Drosophila melanogaster: one gene and its partners. Changing the gene in region 2 together with the main gene of any one other region gives a genetic interaction. Each region holds a gene or a part of one and is shown on either strand. Other genes may lie near its edges.

Evidence for each region. Genes that interact genetically often act in the same process or in processes that back each other up.
Region 1: of hep (region 2) and egr, changing one suppresses a phenotype caused by changing the other (phenotypic suppression), as found in Drosophila melanogaster (4 studies listed by BioGRID).
Region 3: of hep (region 2) and Rac1, changing one suppresses a phenotype caused by changing the other (phenotypic suppression), as found in Drosophila melanogaster (3 studies listed by BioGRID).

Annotation. Positions count from the first base shown.
Region 1 is NT_033778.4:10,076,661-10,084,415, forward strand, and holds egr (eiger), read left to right. Parts: upstream 1-1,705; 5' UTR 1,706-2,351; coding exon 2,352-2,522; intron 2,523-3,952; exon of another isoform or gene 3,953-4,034; intron 4,035-4,127; exon of another isoform or gene 4,128-4,264; intron 4,265-4,527; exon of another isoform or gene 4,528-4,665; intron 4,666-4,846; coding exon 4,847-4,972; intron 4,973-5,592; exon of another isoform or gene 5,593-5,662; intron 5,663-5,981; coding exon 5,982-6,307; intron 6,308-6,369; coding exon 6,370-6,474; intron 6,475-6,601; coding exon 6,602-6,666; intron 6,667-6,743; coding exon 6,744-6,833; intron 6,834-6,913; coding exon 6,914-7,278; 3' UTR 7,279-7,550; downstream 7,551-7,755.
Region 2 is NC_004354.4:13,087,400-13,092,369, reverse strand, and holds the start of hep (hemipterous), read left to right. Parts: upstream 1-1,935; 5' UTR 1,936-2,593; coding exon 2,594-3,011; intron 3,012-4,970. Other genes in the region: lic (licorne), read right to left, coding at 1-86, 149-281, 368-758, 829-887. UniProt on the Drosophila melanogaster protein: Required for the epithelial cell sheet movement called dorsal closure (DC), which allows establishment of the dorsal epidermis. Controls the expression in the dorsal epithelium edges of another dorsal closure gene, puckered (puc).
Region 3 is NT_037436.4:1,300,329-1,304,400, forward strand, and holds Rac1 (Rac1), read right to left. Parts: upstream 2,356-4,072; 5' UTR 2,019-2,355; coding exon 1,440-2,018; 3' UTR 551-1,439; downstream 1-550. Other genes in the region: Acat2 (Acetyl-CoA acetyltransferase 2), read left to right, coding at 2,723-2,765, 2,860-2,981, 3,053-3,165, 3,220-3,649, 3,710-3,895, 3,952-4,072. UniProt on the Drosophila melanogaster protein: During various developmental processes, regulates changes in cell morphology in response to extracellular signals.

The sequences.
Region 1 (7,755 bases), on a different chromosome or scaffold from region 2:
CACGTGATATATCTAGATCTTACAATATCATGTACATCGACATACCAGCTCAATGCTGATATATGTACATATATGTTTGCACAGATCATTGAATCAGATTCATTAACACTGCATAAAACCAAAAAGGTCTCAGAGCTTAGATTGAAACAATTCGTCCGATTTATTCCATAATTAATTAAGCTTTTCACAACTGAATTTATATAAAACAAATGATGTAATACAAAAAAGTAAGATACAAAACACAAAAAAGTAATAGAAGCTTTTCAAAAACTATTGTATATACAAATGTACATACATATGTATATGTATATAATTTTAAATCATTGATTTACCATTTCCGAACATTGAAAATTATAAATAAAAATGTGGTCTTGCACAATGCGAAAACAGATAACGACTAATGGGTTAAGAAGTGCACCGGAAGCGTGTGCCATCCGATCCCCGCTCTTACGGCCTGAGCAGTTCTACCTGTGGTTACCTGTTTGTCGCAGACGATTAGAAACTAATTAGCTGACCAACGCCGACATTTGCATCTCTGCCGAATGACGACACTCTTGGGCGGATTTACGATACGGGTCTGTTTGGCAGCCGGTTCGGCAGACTAGTTGTCGCGACGGTGGCTGATCGGATCGGATCAGCATTAGGTTTATGGCTACCCCGCTACCCGTAATTAGAACCCGTACTTAGGCACGGCGCTGACAGACCCCGATCGTCGGTCTAAGTAATAATAAATACGATTTTAATGAAATGCTAAAAGTTCATTTGGCTTATCTATGGGTTTGTCAACGATCCGCCACTTTTCGGAACTCAATTAGCTGCGGCTCGGGAATCGAAGATCGGGGATCTGTTCCATGTCAGTGTCATGAAGGGAGCTCGAACAAAGCAGCCACACAAAGAAAATGAAGCGAAAACCCGGGGATGCGAAGCCAAGCCGCTTACAGTGGTGCCGATTTCAAAAAGCAATCGAGCAACCCCTATAAATCACAGGGGGAGGTTTTAAGTGCACATAACACATAAAAAGAAATAAAAGCAGTGGAAAACACTGCGCAAAAAGTCAAACACGCTTTGCTACTTATGATCGCCATATGTGCAAGGGAAATCGGAACCAAGTACAGTCTGTCTTGGCTAAAAACAACGATGAGATGGTCTTCAATATGGCATCCAATATTCTAAATTAGATACACTATTTTCTTCTCTTTTGATAAATGTTATTAAAGTTCGTTATTTGAGCATTTCAATTTGATATTGAAATTATGATAACATTGTTAAATTGTTAACAACTTTAGACTATATGAACTATTATTTAGTGTTATATCATATTATAAATCATATTTTTGTAAATATTTCTTATGCACACCATGATTATGAGTTTCATACAAATAATTTGTTATAATAAATAAAAATCGTATCTACATATACATATGTACATGTAAAATTGTAGAAATATAATAATTAATTTAATTCCTGTTAGCCAGAGCCCACTGTATCACCAAAACACCACCCCGGGAGAACCTTGCCAAAAATTAATTACACAAAGTAAACAGCGCAGGCGCCCTTAAGTATGCCGCGCATCCTCGCCACGTGAGCGAGGGAGACGGTGCCAATCCGTTGTCCCTCTTGCTCGCCTGCCTGCTCGAACGTGAGAAATCAAGTGCCGCTCGGTTCGTTTTCCCTCAGTTCACGCTCCCGTTCTCAGTTCAAATTCATTCTCTTTCGAATCGTCGACGCGAACGGACGTTTAAAGTGAGAAAAGAAACCGGTAAATCAGAGATCCCAAGCAAGCGCGTGCGTGCATGATAGCGAAGAAAAAAAGCTATCCGTTTCAGTTAACTACTTACCAAGATTGAATTTCGCCATCGGGCAAATTACTAAAAATACATAAGTGCAACTCGTCCACTGTGTGTTGTGTTTTTTTTTTTTTTTTTGGTTTTCGCTGTGCCTTTATCGCAAACAAGAACTGATAAAACTAGAAAATATCTTGAGAAACTTGTTTTCGCGCTTTTCTTTTGCTAATTGCCGATCGCGGAAGAGAAAAACAAGCAGTAGACAAAACAAGTGTGGTAATACAATCTGAAAAGGGCACCATCAGCAGCCCGAGGGGTTTATCTATATAGATGTCGCAGCTTATCATCTCATGCTGTCTGTGAGGTTGTTCTGTGTGCTCGTGTAGTATCTTAAATACATAGAGTGTGTTCATATAAAGTGCGACAAAGCTCGATTGGAAACAGCTGTCGAGTGCCCTTGAGTGGGTGGGCAAGATCGTCATCATCATCATCGTCGTCATTATCAACAGAATCAGCATCAGCATCTGGAGGCCCCGGTTGCTCTAAGATCCCCAGTGTTCATCAATTATGACTGCCGAGACCCTCAAGCCGTTTATAACGCCAACGAGTGCCAACGATGATGGTTTTCCGGCCAAAGCGACCAGCACGGCGACCGCCCAGCGACGCACCCGCCAGCTGATCCCCCTGGTTTTGGGGTTCATCGGTCTGGGGCTGGTCGTTGCCATTCTCGCACTAACGGTAAGTTTTCCTTCACAATCATTTACCCAATAGCAGCCCAATCAGGTATTATTGCCCATTTGGATCGACTATCGCGATTCTAAACACACCAATTAGACTCTGAACTGAATGAAATCGTACTACAAAATTTTCATTAAGATGCTATTAATTGATAACATTGCGTCTCTATCTGCCTACTTAAGATAACAAACCATGCTTAAAGATGTTTAATTAAGGTGGCACAAATCATACTTAGTATTGAAATAATTACAAATAAATAAATAGTATAACATATTTTATGTGTGTTTGAGCGTCGTACAATCTCTTCAGTCGCATTTTATGTTTTTAATGTTTTTTAGCACACTAAAATCGTCAAATGTGCTGAATAGATTTAGTTAATGAATATAATTTGAAAAAGATTAAAGTAGTCACCTCCAAATTGAAATAGCTATTCCATACTTGAATGCCTTTTTTTTTGTTTGTTGTGTGCGATTAATGATTCGTCGGAATTCCAAAGGTGTGGGTATATCAGTTATTGGTGGGAGTTTCCCCAGAATATAGATAGGAATGAGTTGTTATGGGCTATGTTGTTTAATGATATTTTGGGCGCCAAAGTGGGCCAATCATGATTATATGGCCGTTTTAATGACTGTTTCGAAACGAGTGTAAAGGTATTACACTGATTCTTAAACTAGACTTTTGTAGAATTTGTGTTTTATTGTGTTTTTAGTGTTTTATTTTGGTAGTTTAATTTATAATTTTGCTTAGTTATCTCTCCAAAAACCATCACAACGACAGTTAGTTTTATCTGGAAAACAGATTGCACCAATAAAGTAATGAAAGCATAAAAACAGAGAGATTCCATTCAGCCATGAACCGCCTTCTAGACTCTGAACAGACTCCTATTTTTCGGAAATGTTTATTTCAGTAGCTTGCCAAAATAAAATGCGAATAAATATAAATGCAAATTGGACTTTAACAACGTATGTGTATAGACACCCCCGAAATCGCAATCTAAAAATGAATATTTAACCTTTGGCACGCTTCGGCTTATAAAGCTGTTTGTCACAAAGTCTTTGTTGATGCCAAATTAAAGACGAAATTCCGCGGATGCATAAATTGAAATGAAAACAGACTTTATGATCCGTGACCGTCGCAGATAGGTTAACTATAATTTGGCATGAAACTATATTTAGAGCGGGAAAAACGGCGGTTTCTTGGCTGATCAAGCGATGTCATCACCGACACGTCTTTAGGCCAAATCGGTTCCTAATGATCCAGCTAATCCAAATAAAGCGGATGCAGATGCTAGAGAAATGTTTATCGGTACATGTCTGTTCTTCCCTTTTGTTTTTGTTCAACCGATTTAAATGCCACTGAGTCCGTTCTGTTATGCATTCGATAAATCTTCGACTGGGTTGTTGTGTCATGTTTTTCCCTGATAACTTTGCGAATGAGTGTGCTCGCTGAAATCCGGATTTGAATTGCAGAAGATTAAGTTTGTGGACTTGAATCTGGTCCTTCTCTCCCACCCCCATTTCCCCCCCCCTCACCCAGGACTCCTCCATGACCCACTCAACTTTGGCTTAAGTGAACGGAAATCGTACAATTGACAATTGACTTGTAAATGATTGGCTTCAGCCACTGACGTGGGCCTCAAGTTCGGTTTTCCTCATAAATCTCCGTTAAGCCATGAAGCATTTTTCGTTGTTTAATTCAATTTCACTGACATTCGTACAAAGTAACCCTCATCATTTGGGGCCCTCTAAGAAAGTGACAAACTGCAGGCGCTGCGATCGATCTACTGATCGCCGATAAGCTCTAATGGAAAGTGGTTCACTGGAAACTTAAACAAGTTTCTTGGGTCTGCGTAAAGTCCATAATTTATACAAGAATTCAGTACAAGTTGTTGTGTGTACCTACATGTATGTACATGTGTATATTTCCCCGTCTGCGCGTACAGTGGCTTAAGTTGAGCCATTCTTTTCGATTTCGGCTGCCAGTCGAGACTTGAGAAGTGTCCGTATATAAGGCCTCTGCTCGGCCCGAATGTTAATGATCCATTAAGCAGATTATGTGGCTGAGTGGCGATCGTACGTACCCCGCCGTATTTCCCCACGAAATCTTTCTCGTCTCGCCTCTATCAGTTTGTTCAGTTAGTTTTTATATATTTTTCGGGTGTCAAAAGTTCGCGGCACTGGGTGTTATATGATGTGCCGGGCCTTAGCACCAGCTATAGATGTTTAATTGGGGCTACGTTAAATTGATTGCCCAATTGCTAATGAGCGGATGATTAGAAACGAGCCTGAATGAGTGTGTAACAATTGAATTATCTTATCTTGCAGATCTGGCAGACAACGCGTGTATCGCATCTGGACAAGGAGCTGAAGAGCCTGAAGCGAGTCGTCGATAATCTCCAGCAGCGTTTGGGCATAAACTATCTGGACGAGTTCGACGAGTTCCAAAAGGAGGTGAGCAATTGCGTAAATCACTTTCGAGCATCAATATTTGTACTCGGCGATGGGGCAGGGGCTGTAACATTTGCCCCGGGCAAATACAGATACCTCGAATTGTTTACAAAGTCGGAAATGATTGTTATTCCTTGAGGCTGGTACTTGAGTTTTTAATGAGGGTATATCGAACTTTTGTTATTGAGTATCTATTATGTTTAGTTTTCTTTTTGCCTAAAGGGTAATTTGCATTTTATGATGGCAAACTCTGGCTAGGGTATCTCACAGTCGGTAAGCCATGCGCCTGTTTTTGAAAAAGAATGCCTCAAAAAAATGACCAGACGTAATATGTGGTTATTGTGTGGGACATACAAAAATATTTATAGAATTATGTGCTAAAATATAATTTCGACGCTGTTTCATCTGTTATTTGTTTCATTTTTTTTTGTTAGCTGCTTGGCCAAAGGCACATAGAAAATTGTGATAGATTATTTGAATTATAATGTCTCTTTCCGCAAGGAAACACTCATTTCAAATATGAGGCGCCAGCCAGTTCACGTAATTTATGAGATACAAATCCCCAAGTGACAAAAGGTAAAAGCCCCAATAATTCAACAAAAATACTAGGCTCTATCAGTAGATATAGTCGTTCAAGGCGAGCGATCGCTTTTGGCTGTATGTGACGATTGATCGAATCTCATCAAATGGCCTAATGGCCAGAGATGGTTTTAAGATTTTAAGATTTATTTATATTTTGATGGCTGGGCATCTGTGGTGCCAATTCTCTTGAGAGTTTCCTTCGCTTTTAAATATATGTATGATGTACACAAGTATATGTATACGAGTATCATGTTTTTGAGCGAGGCGCCATCAATTAGGATGATGACGAAACAGCCTGTGCTGCGGGCGTGTGTCTAAAAATGAACGTCCCAAATGGATGTGAGATATGTGCCAGGACTGTGCCAGCTGCAGTCACGTACTTGGCCAAGTCTTCTGACCCAAAATGCTGATGCCCATCCCTTCGTTGCAGTACGAGAATGCCCTCATCGACTATCCAAAAAAGGTGGATGGCCTCACGGATGAGGAGGACGACGACGATGGCGATGGTCTGGATTCCATTGCGGACGACGAGGACGACGACGTTAGCTATAGCTCTGTGGATGATGTTGGCGCAGACTACGAGGACTACACCGATATGTTAAATAAACTCAACAATGCACATACCGGCACCACGCCCACATCTGAGACCACTGCTGAGGGCGAGGGCGAGACGGACAGTGCATCCTCAGCCTCAAATGATGACAATGTGTTCGATGACTTTACCAGCTACAATGCCCACAAAAAGAAGCAGGAGAGGTGAGCACGGATGAAATTTTCAGGGATTTATCGTATTAAGCCTCTGCTTTTCCTCTTCACAGAAAATCTCGCTCGATTGCCGATGTACGCAATGAGGAGCAGAATATTCAAGGAAATCACACAGAGCTTCAGGAAAAGTCATCCAATGAGGCAACTTCCAAAGAGAGGTAAGTAGAACGTTCCGTTGAAAACAGGCAAGAAAAACCATTAATGAAGTTATATGCTATGGGTTAAAGATAGATAGTTAACTGCGTAACTGAAACACATATGTATACATTTTCTTTTTACTTGAAGCCCTGCACCACTTCACCACCGTCGCAGAATGCATTCCCGCCATCGCCACCTCCTAGTCCGCAAAGGTGTGTAGTGTAGAAAAGCGAAACAATTGGCAAAAATCGAATACCAAATCTCTATTCGCACCTCTGTTAATTTGCAGGTGAATCTCTTCTTTCAGCCAGATCCGAGGACTCGAGGCCAGCAGCCCATTTCCACTTGAGCAGCAGGCGGCGTCACCAAGGAAGTATGGGTAAGGAGATGCTTCCGCGTCAAGCGTGTACATACAAGTACTACAGGCAACCTAATGAAGTCACTTCTTGAATTTCTCAGGCTACCATGGAGATATGTACATAGGAAATGATAACGAGAGAAACTCTTATCAGGGACACTTTCAAACGCGCGATGGCGTCTTGACGGTGACCAATACAGGCCTATATTACGTATACGCCCAGATATGCTACAACAACTCGCACGACCAGAACGGATTTATCGTCTTTCAAGGAGACACTCCATTCCTGCAGTGCTTGAACACGGTGCCCACCAACATGCCACATAAGGTGCACACCTGCCACACGAGTGGTCTGATCCACCTGGAACGAAACGAGAGGATCCATCTGAAGGACATTCACAACGATCGCAATGCAGTTCTGCGGGAGGGAAACAACCGAAGCTACTTTGGCATCTTCAAGGTGTAAATTGGAGAGATTATCCCCGGTCAGAAGATGGAATACCAGTTTAAGCTTTTGTCCCCGCGACTGCTCGTGAATGCGATTCATCGCCAGCGTGAATCCATTAGTTCGTAGTACCTAGTCTTAGTCACTCCAAACCTAATCTCAATCGGAATCGTGCATACTGCATTAGTCAGAAGACGGAGGAAAATCATATTTATTTTGTATATACTCGTTCGACTCTAAAAAGTGAATAAAAATATATGTAGCTATTACCCGCTTGTGTAAGCGTGTTTAAGAAACATCAATTGAATCAATTGCTACCAGTTGCAATTGAAAATATTATAATCTTCTAAATAATGAATATTCGTTCTTAGTATAATTCGATTCAAAATGCTTCAAATGCTTTCAATTCAAATCTCAAATGAAGAGCCATTCAAAGATATCCCTCAGCTTTATTTGTGCAATTCCAGCTTACTATGGTCTTTATTAAAAATTTTGAAT
Region 2 (4,970 bases):
ATTTCCTTGGGGATCGATCCGTTCCGGCGCCATGTACGGCTTGCAACCGGCATCAATGGTTTTGGCAATGGAGTCGACGAGGTAGCCTAAAAGTCAGTCCAATATTAGAATGATTACAGTGGCAAGAAGTCACAGAATGCCAGCCCACCTGAGATGCCAAAGTCACAGATCTTGACCTGGCCGGCCCGATTGATCAGTATGTTCGAGGGCTTGACGTCCCGATGAATGACTTTCAGTTGAGCGTGCAGATAGTGCAGCGCACTGACCACGCTCATGGCAATCTGTAAAGCAAAGGCAGTAGTACGGTAATAGTATAGTGGCGATTGCCCGATAAGATTAGACCCGCCCCCAATCCTCCCCAGCTGACCTTGCCCAGCACGCTTTCCTCCATTCGCAGATCGTGAAGGAAGACCTTCGGATAGAACTTGTCCAGGCTGGTGCTCATCACCTCCATGCAAATCCAGACATCGCCCTCGCGATACATCGCACCATAAAAGTGGACGGTGTAGGGGCAGTCGCTGGATCTCATCGATATGTCCAAATCCATTACAAGGCGGTGCTGTTCTCGAATATTTACGGTCATGGGTATGCGTTTGACGGCCAGGACCGTATCGGTTTGCTTATGGCGCATCTTATCCACGATGCCATAGGCGCCACGGCCCAGATCGCAGATCTTCTCGAGACTATCTGCATCGATGTCAAAGGTCCGGTCGCCAATTTGGATGGTGGCCCGCGAGTCCAGGTTGCGTGGCGGGACTCTAAAAGGATTGCCGAATGTAGTTCAATTCACAATTCGTTTCTGGCCAGGATTTGACCATTTTGACTTACATGGCGGCCTCTGGCTCCTTGGCAATGGTAAAGGGCGTGAGGCGGTGGCGTTTGGACATTTTGGTAGGCCCTTCTATATCCTATATCCTATATGCTATATGCTATATATACCCTCTCCTCTCCACGACTTTCCTTGGTGTTTTCTGGCGGATTCTGCAAGACTTGGCGGTTCGGTGCGAATCGGATGCGATGCGGTGCGGCTATTTTTACCGCATTTGGTCAGGTCAGGATTCGGATGCGGGTCGGTGATATGGGGATCGGATCGGTGTGGATCGTGTGGCCCGGGTTTTGCCGCCCAACCTTTCGCTATTGCCTTTGCTTTCCTTTCCGCACTTTTTGCACTGTTCACCGATCGCTTTTCGCTTCTCTTCTCGTTTTTCTCTCTTTTCCACTAGCGCTGGCCAGCCGCAGTTGGTCCTATCGATATATCCCAACGAGTGCAGCTATAGTATCGTCATACAAATAAATCGAAGTGCCTCGATAATAAATTTGCTTCCACCTGCAACGAATTTAGATAATTAAGTTAGGTATCGATTATATCTATATCTCTTTGTAAGCCTTCTAGAAAGTTGTTCCGTATATTCTTCATACCTATTTTTTAATGTTTGTTTATTTTCTTTAATTTTTTATTTATACATTTATAGACATTTATTTTAAGGGAAAACTTAATAAGTTCTAGCCAAGTGATGCCCATCTTAAGTTGCATTTCGGTATATTTATGATTCTTTTTAGCACTTTGGTCACTCCGTTTTCGATACGTAATGTTGCAAGTTTGACTGAACATATAGAATTCGATGTTTTAGAATTGTACTAAAATAATTTATTATTTTATTAATTAATAAATAGGTAGACCTTATATTATTATTTTAAGTACAAGAACAACGAAGTCTCTCGAATCGACCAATTTGAATTTGAAAAATCTATTATAGTTATATTATATTTGTATGAAATATCCTCTGAAAATTATTCTATCTCGGTAAAATAAAATCCTACATAGTTTTAGATGCCGTTCCTAGTTCGAAAACTGTTTCTGAGGTGCCGATGTTTTGCAAACCATCGATAGGCACGAAAAAAGATATTAAGAATTATCGGCGAAGAACCATCGATGGCTGATGCATCGATGTTTTTTTACATCACTATTGTACACGCGATTTAGGCAGCAAAAACGTACAAAAGCGAGTGATCAAATTGTGCCAGTGATACCGCCGCCCGCGGTCGCGAAACGAATCGATTGCAGAAGTGCGACAAACAGCGCCGCGAAAGGAAAACAACCGATGAAATATTCTCCCAAAAAAGGAGGAAAAAATCGCAAGTTGTTGTTGCCGTTGCTGCTGAAAAAGAAAGAGAGAGAGGGCGCTGCGTGTATGCCTGTGTGTGTGCGTGTGTGGGGGTGAGGATGTCTCTCTCTAATGCACAGTGACTGTGTTTTCCTTTTTTCGATTTTGTTTTTGTGCCCCCCCTTGGCAAACAACAAAAGTCCAAGCAATCCTTTATTTTTGCAAGTGTAAAGTTTACAGTGTATGTGTGCCGCCGAACAACAACAACATCAGCGACAAAACAAACAGGGCGCACAGCAAAACAATTCACACACACACGCACCCTCCCCCGCCTGCGCGCGCTTGTGTGTGTGTGAGAGAGAGGGAGTGAGTGAGAGGAAAATCGAAGAAGTGCTGGCCAAAAAACGGCGAAAAAAATTTAATAAATACCAAAATCCAACGATACTAGCAACTAACTATAAAAAATCGAACCAAATCGACTCGATATAATGTCCACCATTGAGTTCGAAACGATCGGCAGTCGGCTGCAATCCTTGGAGGCAAAGCTCCAGGCGCAGAATGAGTCCCACGACCAGATCGTCCTCTCCGGTGCGCGCGGCCCTGTCGTTTCCGGTTCCGTTCCATCTGCCCGCGTCCCGCCCCTGGCGACATCCGCATCCGCAGCCACATCCGCCACCCACGCACCTTCCTTGGGCGCAGGTTCCGTTTCCGGATCGGGTATCAGCATAGCCCAGCGTCCAGCACCTCCAGTTCCTCATGCGACGCCCTTCGGCAGCGCCAGCGCCTCGTCATCATCCTCATCCGCATCCGCATTTGCATCCGCAGCACCGGCGACGGGCACCTTCGGTGGAACATACACCCCGCCGACAACTAGAGTGTCGCGAGCCACGCCCACACTGCCCATGCGTAAGTCCTCTTTTCGTTAACTTCCTACTAAATCTTTAATATATAAAATTAATTGGGATCAACTAGAAAAACACTGTAGTTACCTGAATCTTTGAAAATCGTTGAAGAAAAATATAACAAAATATAATGTCACAACTAAACTCCATGTACCAGGGAATACTCTAAACCGCTATCTAAAAATGATAGCTTATCAAACTGCGTACTGTAACTCAAAATTTTCCAACGAGACTTTCCCGATTCGAATATTCGATAATTCTCTACTTTCGAAAGTAAATCGTTGTCGAAAAACAGTTTTGGCCGCCAAAAACGTGGTAAAACTTTCCAAGTAAATTTCCAAACGCACAAACAACATTTTTGATATTAATTCGCAGAAAGATCAATGTTTTATCGATCGAACATTAGACAGGTGAAATCTTTATTGATCCTCTGTGACAGGTGTGGATTTAAGCCAACATTTCTCTGACCGCAACTGTAGACAGTTTGTTAAGTGGTAATAAAAGTGGGCTGAGAAAAATCGTGATCCCCAAAAATGGTCACCAAAAATCTATATATACCGTACCGCCAACCGCAAGCCACAAAACCATCTTTTGTCCGCATTTGTGTAAATATTTTGTTAATAAATTGTCATTGCCCAATAAGCTGTGTATGTGCGCGTGTGTGTGTGTACATACATGTATGTGTGCTTAAATTGTGATAAGAGAAGTGCTCTTTTCTTGGCTTTTCCCATTGCTATTGCCATTGGGTTTACTTTGGAGCATTTGGATGCCGCCAACAAAGGGCAAACGCTATCGATTCCCCGACTGCATAACAGCTGCTCATAATCCCCCATTCCAGCACCTCAGCAGCGCCCCGTCAACCCCGTAGCTCTGCCGCTTTTCCCCCCCTCCGATTTCCCGTTCTGTTTTTCCGATTGCATAGATAAGACAGGCCAAGTGCGAACACCAAAAGCGTACCCAACTTGTTTTCGGCCTTTTGTTGGGCCAAACAAAAATAAAAAGAAGTCAAATCTACAGTGGTATTAACAGCTGTGAACCGCGTCAATTTATTTTCGCCTCGATTAGATTAACAATTCCTGGTACCATAACTGTTTGATACATGAACCCCAGAAAATGCCTAATGGGTTTTTGAATAATCAAATACATTTCGATTCGATTAGATTAGTAGTGGTTAATAGTTTCCGCGAATTTCAGGGGTACTTAAAATCACACCCAAATTTTAACAGTGTAATCAGCTATTGAATAGATTTTCAAGTTCGTGGTACATAATGAGCGAGCAAAAGTTAAATGAATAAATAGCTAACAAAATATAACGGTCTATATGTTAATTTATCAGAACAAAATTGGTTTATTAAAGACAAAAGTTGTCGTTATTCGATTATTTATGAGGCTTAAATTGATAGAAATTTTAAATTTTTCATGTAAGAGATGACGTTATTGTGCCCACGGTTGTGAGACCACCCACCGCCTTTTTTCGTTTCTTTTCCCCTTCCTTTTGTTATACATTTAAGTTTTTGCATATTTGTCTTGTATATTTTTCTTATTGGATTTTCATCTGCCATCAAGTGTTGTTATTTATTTACTTACATACTTTTTATTTACTTTTTGCATGTGTGCGTCTCTCTACTCGCGTTTGGTGCTCTCTTCCTCTCTCGCTCTCCGCCATTGGTTACTTTTTGGCATTTCCGGAGTAATGTCTTGATATGCCCGTTACTGTTGTTGTCATTTTTTTTGGGCCTCACATATTCCCACCTCCGCCGCACCCTGCCCACATTCGTTCATCGGACATTGTGCCGTGTCTCCTCTTTCGCATGTTTACAAATAGCGTTATTTTTTATGACGTGCTGTTGTTGTAGTGGCTAATTGTTGAATTGAATTGCTGCCAGGGAAAAAAAAACTTCGCAAACAAAAACAAAATCGCTCTCATTCGCTCTTCCTCTTCATGCACACACACACACACGCA
Region 3 (4,072 bases), on a different chromosome or scaffold from region 2:
AGATCATTTTAGAGTTTAGTTGCAACATGTTCAATAAAATGCTTTTATTCTATTTACTTCTATATATTTATATTTTATTTTCATGCTAACCATAAATACTTCTTTCTCGGTGTAGAACCAGAAGTGAGGAGCTCCGGGAATCGGTTATTTTGTTTCAAGCTGATTTAGATTATTTTCGGTTCTCGACTTTCGCCGAGATAAGCAAAATAATTCGTTCTTCGGCGTTGATAAGTCTGTCTCCGTTGTGGGTACAGTGAGCACTCGAGCGAGGGCCAATGTCGGCCATTGACGAATGGAGTTTGATAAACAATCAAGAATATTTGAATGCGTGAGCTATGTAAGTAAGTATATGTGCTGGTGCTGCGAAGATCTTGGAGAAGAAAAGAGCACTCAGATATCTTTTCGATGAGTGATTCGACTTAGCTAAAACTAGTTTTACGCTCTTTCCCACTCATAGTTCCCTAATATGCGCAGATCGTTTTCTAGTATTCACTACATATGATATGTCAGAAGAATATAAGAAACATATCACAATAAATAAACCAAAACTCCTTTTATTATGCTTTATTGATTTCCATTGAAATAGACACATTTATATAATTATCTTGGCTTCGTTCATGTTTTTTGTTTTTCTTTTGTTTCTTGAATATCTGTCGTTTAAAATACAAAGTATTCAAAGTTGCTCAGTTTGATGCCTTTAATTCAGTACATAGTATACGAAGGACTTTTCATCTTATACATACATGTATATATATTGATAGTTCCTGGATCTAGCAAAAGTTTAAAAAGTTGTTACTCGCCCGCGCCGTCGCTTCGATATCCAACAACATCTAAATACAAGTATGTAATAATGTAAGTGTAATTGCAATGGAACGTTTACTTTACTGACTCAATATCCTGATCCCTTCCGCAGGACCTTCGATCAACATCTATGCGACATCTATGCTTTATGCTCATTATGCGGCTATTCTCGTACTTGTCTCACATTTTTTTTAGGTTTTTCGTTTGTTTTTTTTTTTTTGTTTTGTTTTGTTTTTGGTTTTACCTCAGTTTTACAACATTAATTTTAATTACAAAAGTTATTAAATAATACAAAATACAGTTAGAGTTTACAGTTCTCCATTTCGTCTAGAAACATCTCGCTTTTAACTTTTAGTTGAAATTAATGCACGAATAAACAGAATAATTGGATTATGAATTACAGAACACTCGAAACAAACTCAGAACTCGGAAACGAAACAAAAGCAAGAGTTGGGTTGGGTTGGGTTGGGGGAATCCCCCCCTAGCAGCGGAAATTAGTGGCAAAATTGTAACAAAGAAACTACGGATGAGCCATTTAGCCTGGCCACGCTTAGGTTACATAATGGTTTTATAGTTAATAATATTACGTTTAAGCAGAGTCCGTCGGTGGAACACCACCGACCAACTGTCTAACTCTTTTAGAGCAGGGCGCACTTGCGCTTGGACTTGGGCTGCAGCACGGGGCACAAAACCGACCGGATGGCCTCGTCGAAAACGGTTTTCAGACCCTTCTGCGTCAGGGCCGAGCACTCCAGATACTTGACCGCTCCGATTTCCTTGGCCATGGCCAGGCCCTGCGGATAGGTGATGGGCGCCAGTTTCTTGTCCCTCAGCTTTTCGATTGTGTTCTTGTCGTCGCGCAAATCCAGCTTGGTGCCCACCAGGATGATGGGCGTGCTGGGGCAGTGGTGGCGCACCTCCGGATACCACTTGGCCCGCACGTTCTCGAACGATGCCGGATTCACCAGCGAGAAGCAGATGAGGAAGACATCGGTCTGGGGATAAGACAGTGGCCTCAGTCGGTCGTAGTCCTCCTGCCCGGCCGTATCCCACAGGCCCAGGTTGATGGGCTTGGCGTCCACCATCACGTTGGCCGAGTAGTTGTCGAACACGGTGGGTATGTACTCGCCGGGAAAGGCATTGGTCGTGTAGCTGATCAGCAGGCAGGTCTTTCCCACGGCTCCGTCGCCCACGACGACGCACTTGATCGCCTGCATGGTTCGATTTCCTCGACTTTCTGGACTGGAGTGCTATGTGCCTAGAGATTGGAGATTGAAGATTGCAGATTTCTGATTGCGGGGGTGCTTCTTCTTCAGGCGTTTTTGGTTCTTTTTGGGGCGGCGGCGGAGGACTGTTGCTTGCGTGGGTCCTTTTGCGGGGTTATCTCTGGAAGCGCGACTCCTTTTCCAGTGCCTTGTGGTCCTCGGGGCGACTGATGATCGCGCCTTACGTTCTGGGCCTCTTTAACTCGCGTTTTGTGCGTTAATTTCCCTAATTTTCTCAACAAAAAAAGTAAATTTTCTGTGTACTGCAGTGTGACCGCGGCTGGACTGTTCAAATTTACCATGGGAAAGCTGTAAAATACTAAAACAAATTAAAACTGCATTGAAATGGTCACCCTAAGATTTGTAAATTATTTCAAGGCTTCGTCCTTAAAGCAAACATAAAACCCTTAAGTTTCGCATTTACTTATAATTAAATCCGAATTACAAAATATATAATTTCATTGTCTTCCTGTTTATGTCAGTGATTTGAAGTGAGAACAAGCTGTTTTTAGTAGGGCTGGGCCCCAGAAGTGCAGCTTCTGGGCTTTGGCTGCACCTGGTCACACTTCTGGCAGCAAATAATACAATTTCGAAAATTAGAATTTATTTGCTGCTCAATAGCCAAGTCAATAACACCTGTTCCTTGCCCATCCAGAATGTCTGACGTGTTCATCGTGTCCGCCGCCCGCACGCCCATTGGTAAAACCAAGATAAATCGGCTGCACCATACACGATAACCACATTCTAATTGGAAACTTTCTCTTCGTGTTTGTCCAATCTGAAAAATCAACAGGTAGCTTCAATGGAACGCTTTCTAAACTGAAGGCCTCCGACCTGGGCAGCGTGGTCATCCAGGAGGTACTCCGGCGGGCGAATGTGGAGGGCCAGGAGGTCAACGAAGTCATCTTGGGCCAGGTGGGACCCATATCATAACTGTTTCTCCTCCTATCTTACCGATCTATTTGTTATGTAAATATCTTTGTTAGGCTCTAAGCGCCGGTCAGGGTCAGAATCCAGCACGTCAGGCTTCACTCAAGGCGGGTCTGCCCATTCAGGTGCCAGCCTACGGCATAAACATGCTATGTGGTTCCGGCTTAAAGTGAGTTTGTCCCGTACAATTCCGTACATTTACAATGGTTTTTACCATTTCCAGAACTGTAGCGCTGGGTTACCAGGCCATCCGCTCGGGAGACGCACAGATTGTTGTGGCAGGAGGTCAGGAGAGCATGTCCCTGGCTCCACACGTCATGCATCTGCGGCAGGGCGTCAAAATGGGTCCGGGCACTATGGTGGACTCGATGATCCACGACGGCCTAACCGATGCCATGGAGAACATACACATGGGCATCACTGCCGAGAATCTGGCCGATAAGTATAACATCAGTCGTGAGGCCCAGGATGCCTATGCCGTGCTGTCGCAAAATCGAGCCGAGGAGGCCCAAAAAAAGGGTTACTTCGACAAGGAGATTGTGCCCGTGGAGATCAAGGATCGCAAGGGTACGACCACATTCAGCAAGGATGAGTACATCAAGGCGGGCAGCACCGTCGAGGGTATACAGAAGCTCAGGGCAGCCTTCAAAGAGGTGGGTCTAAGATAAATACAAGAAGAGCGAGAGTTAACCCACTTTCTCTTGCTTATGTAGGGCGGCTCTATAACCGCTGGCAATGCCTCAGGCGTCAACGACTCCGCTGCTGCCGTACTACTGATGTCCGGCGAGGAGGTGGCCAGGAAGGGTCTTAAGCCGCTGGCTAGGATTGTGGGCTGGACTCAGAGTGGCATTGAGCCAAAGGTGATGGGACTGGGACCAGTCACAGCTGTGGAAGCATTGGTAGTTACACGGAAATTCCACTTCTATACATGCTCCTAAGTTTTCACATTTTTCAGCTTCAAAAGATTAACTGGAAGCGTGAGGAAGTGGATCTTTACGAGCTGAACGAAGCATTCGCCGCCCAATCACTGGCTGTCCTGCAGGACCTGCAGCTGGATGCTCAGAAAGTAAATGTCA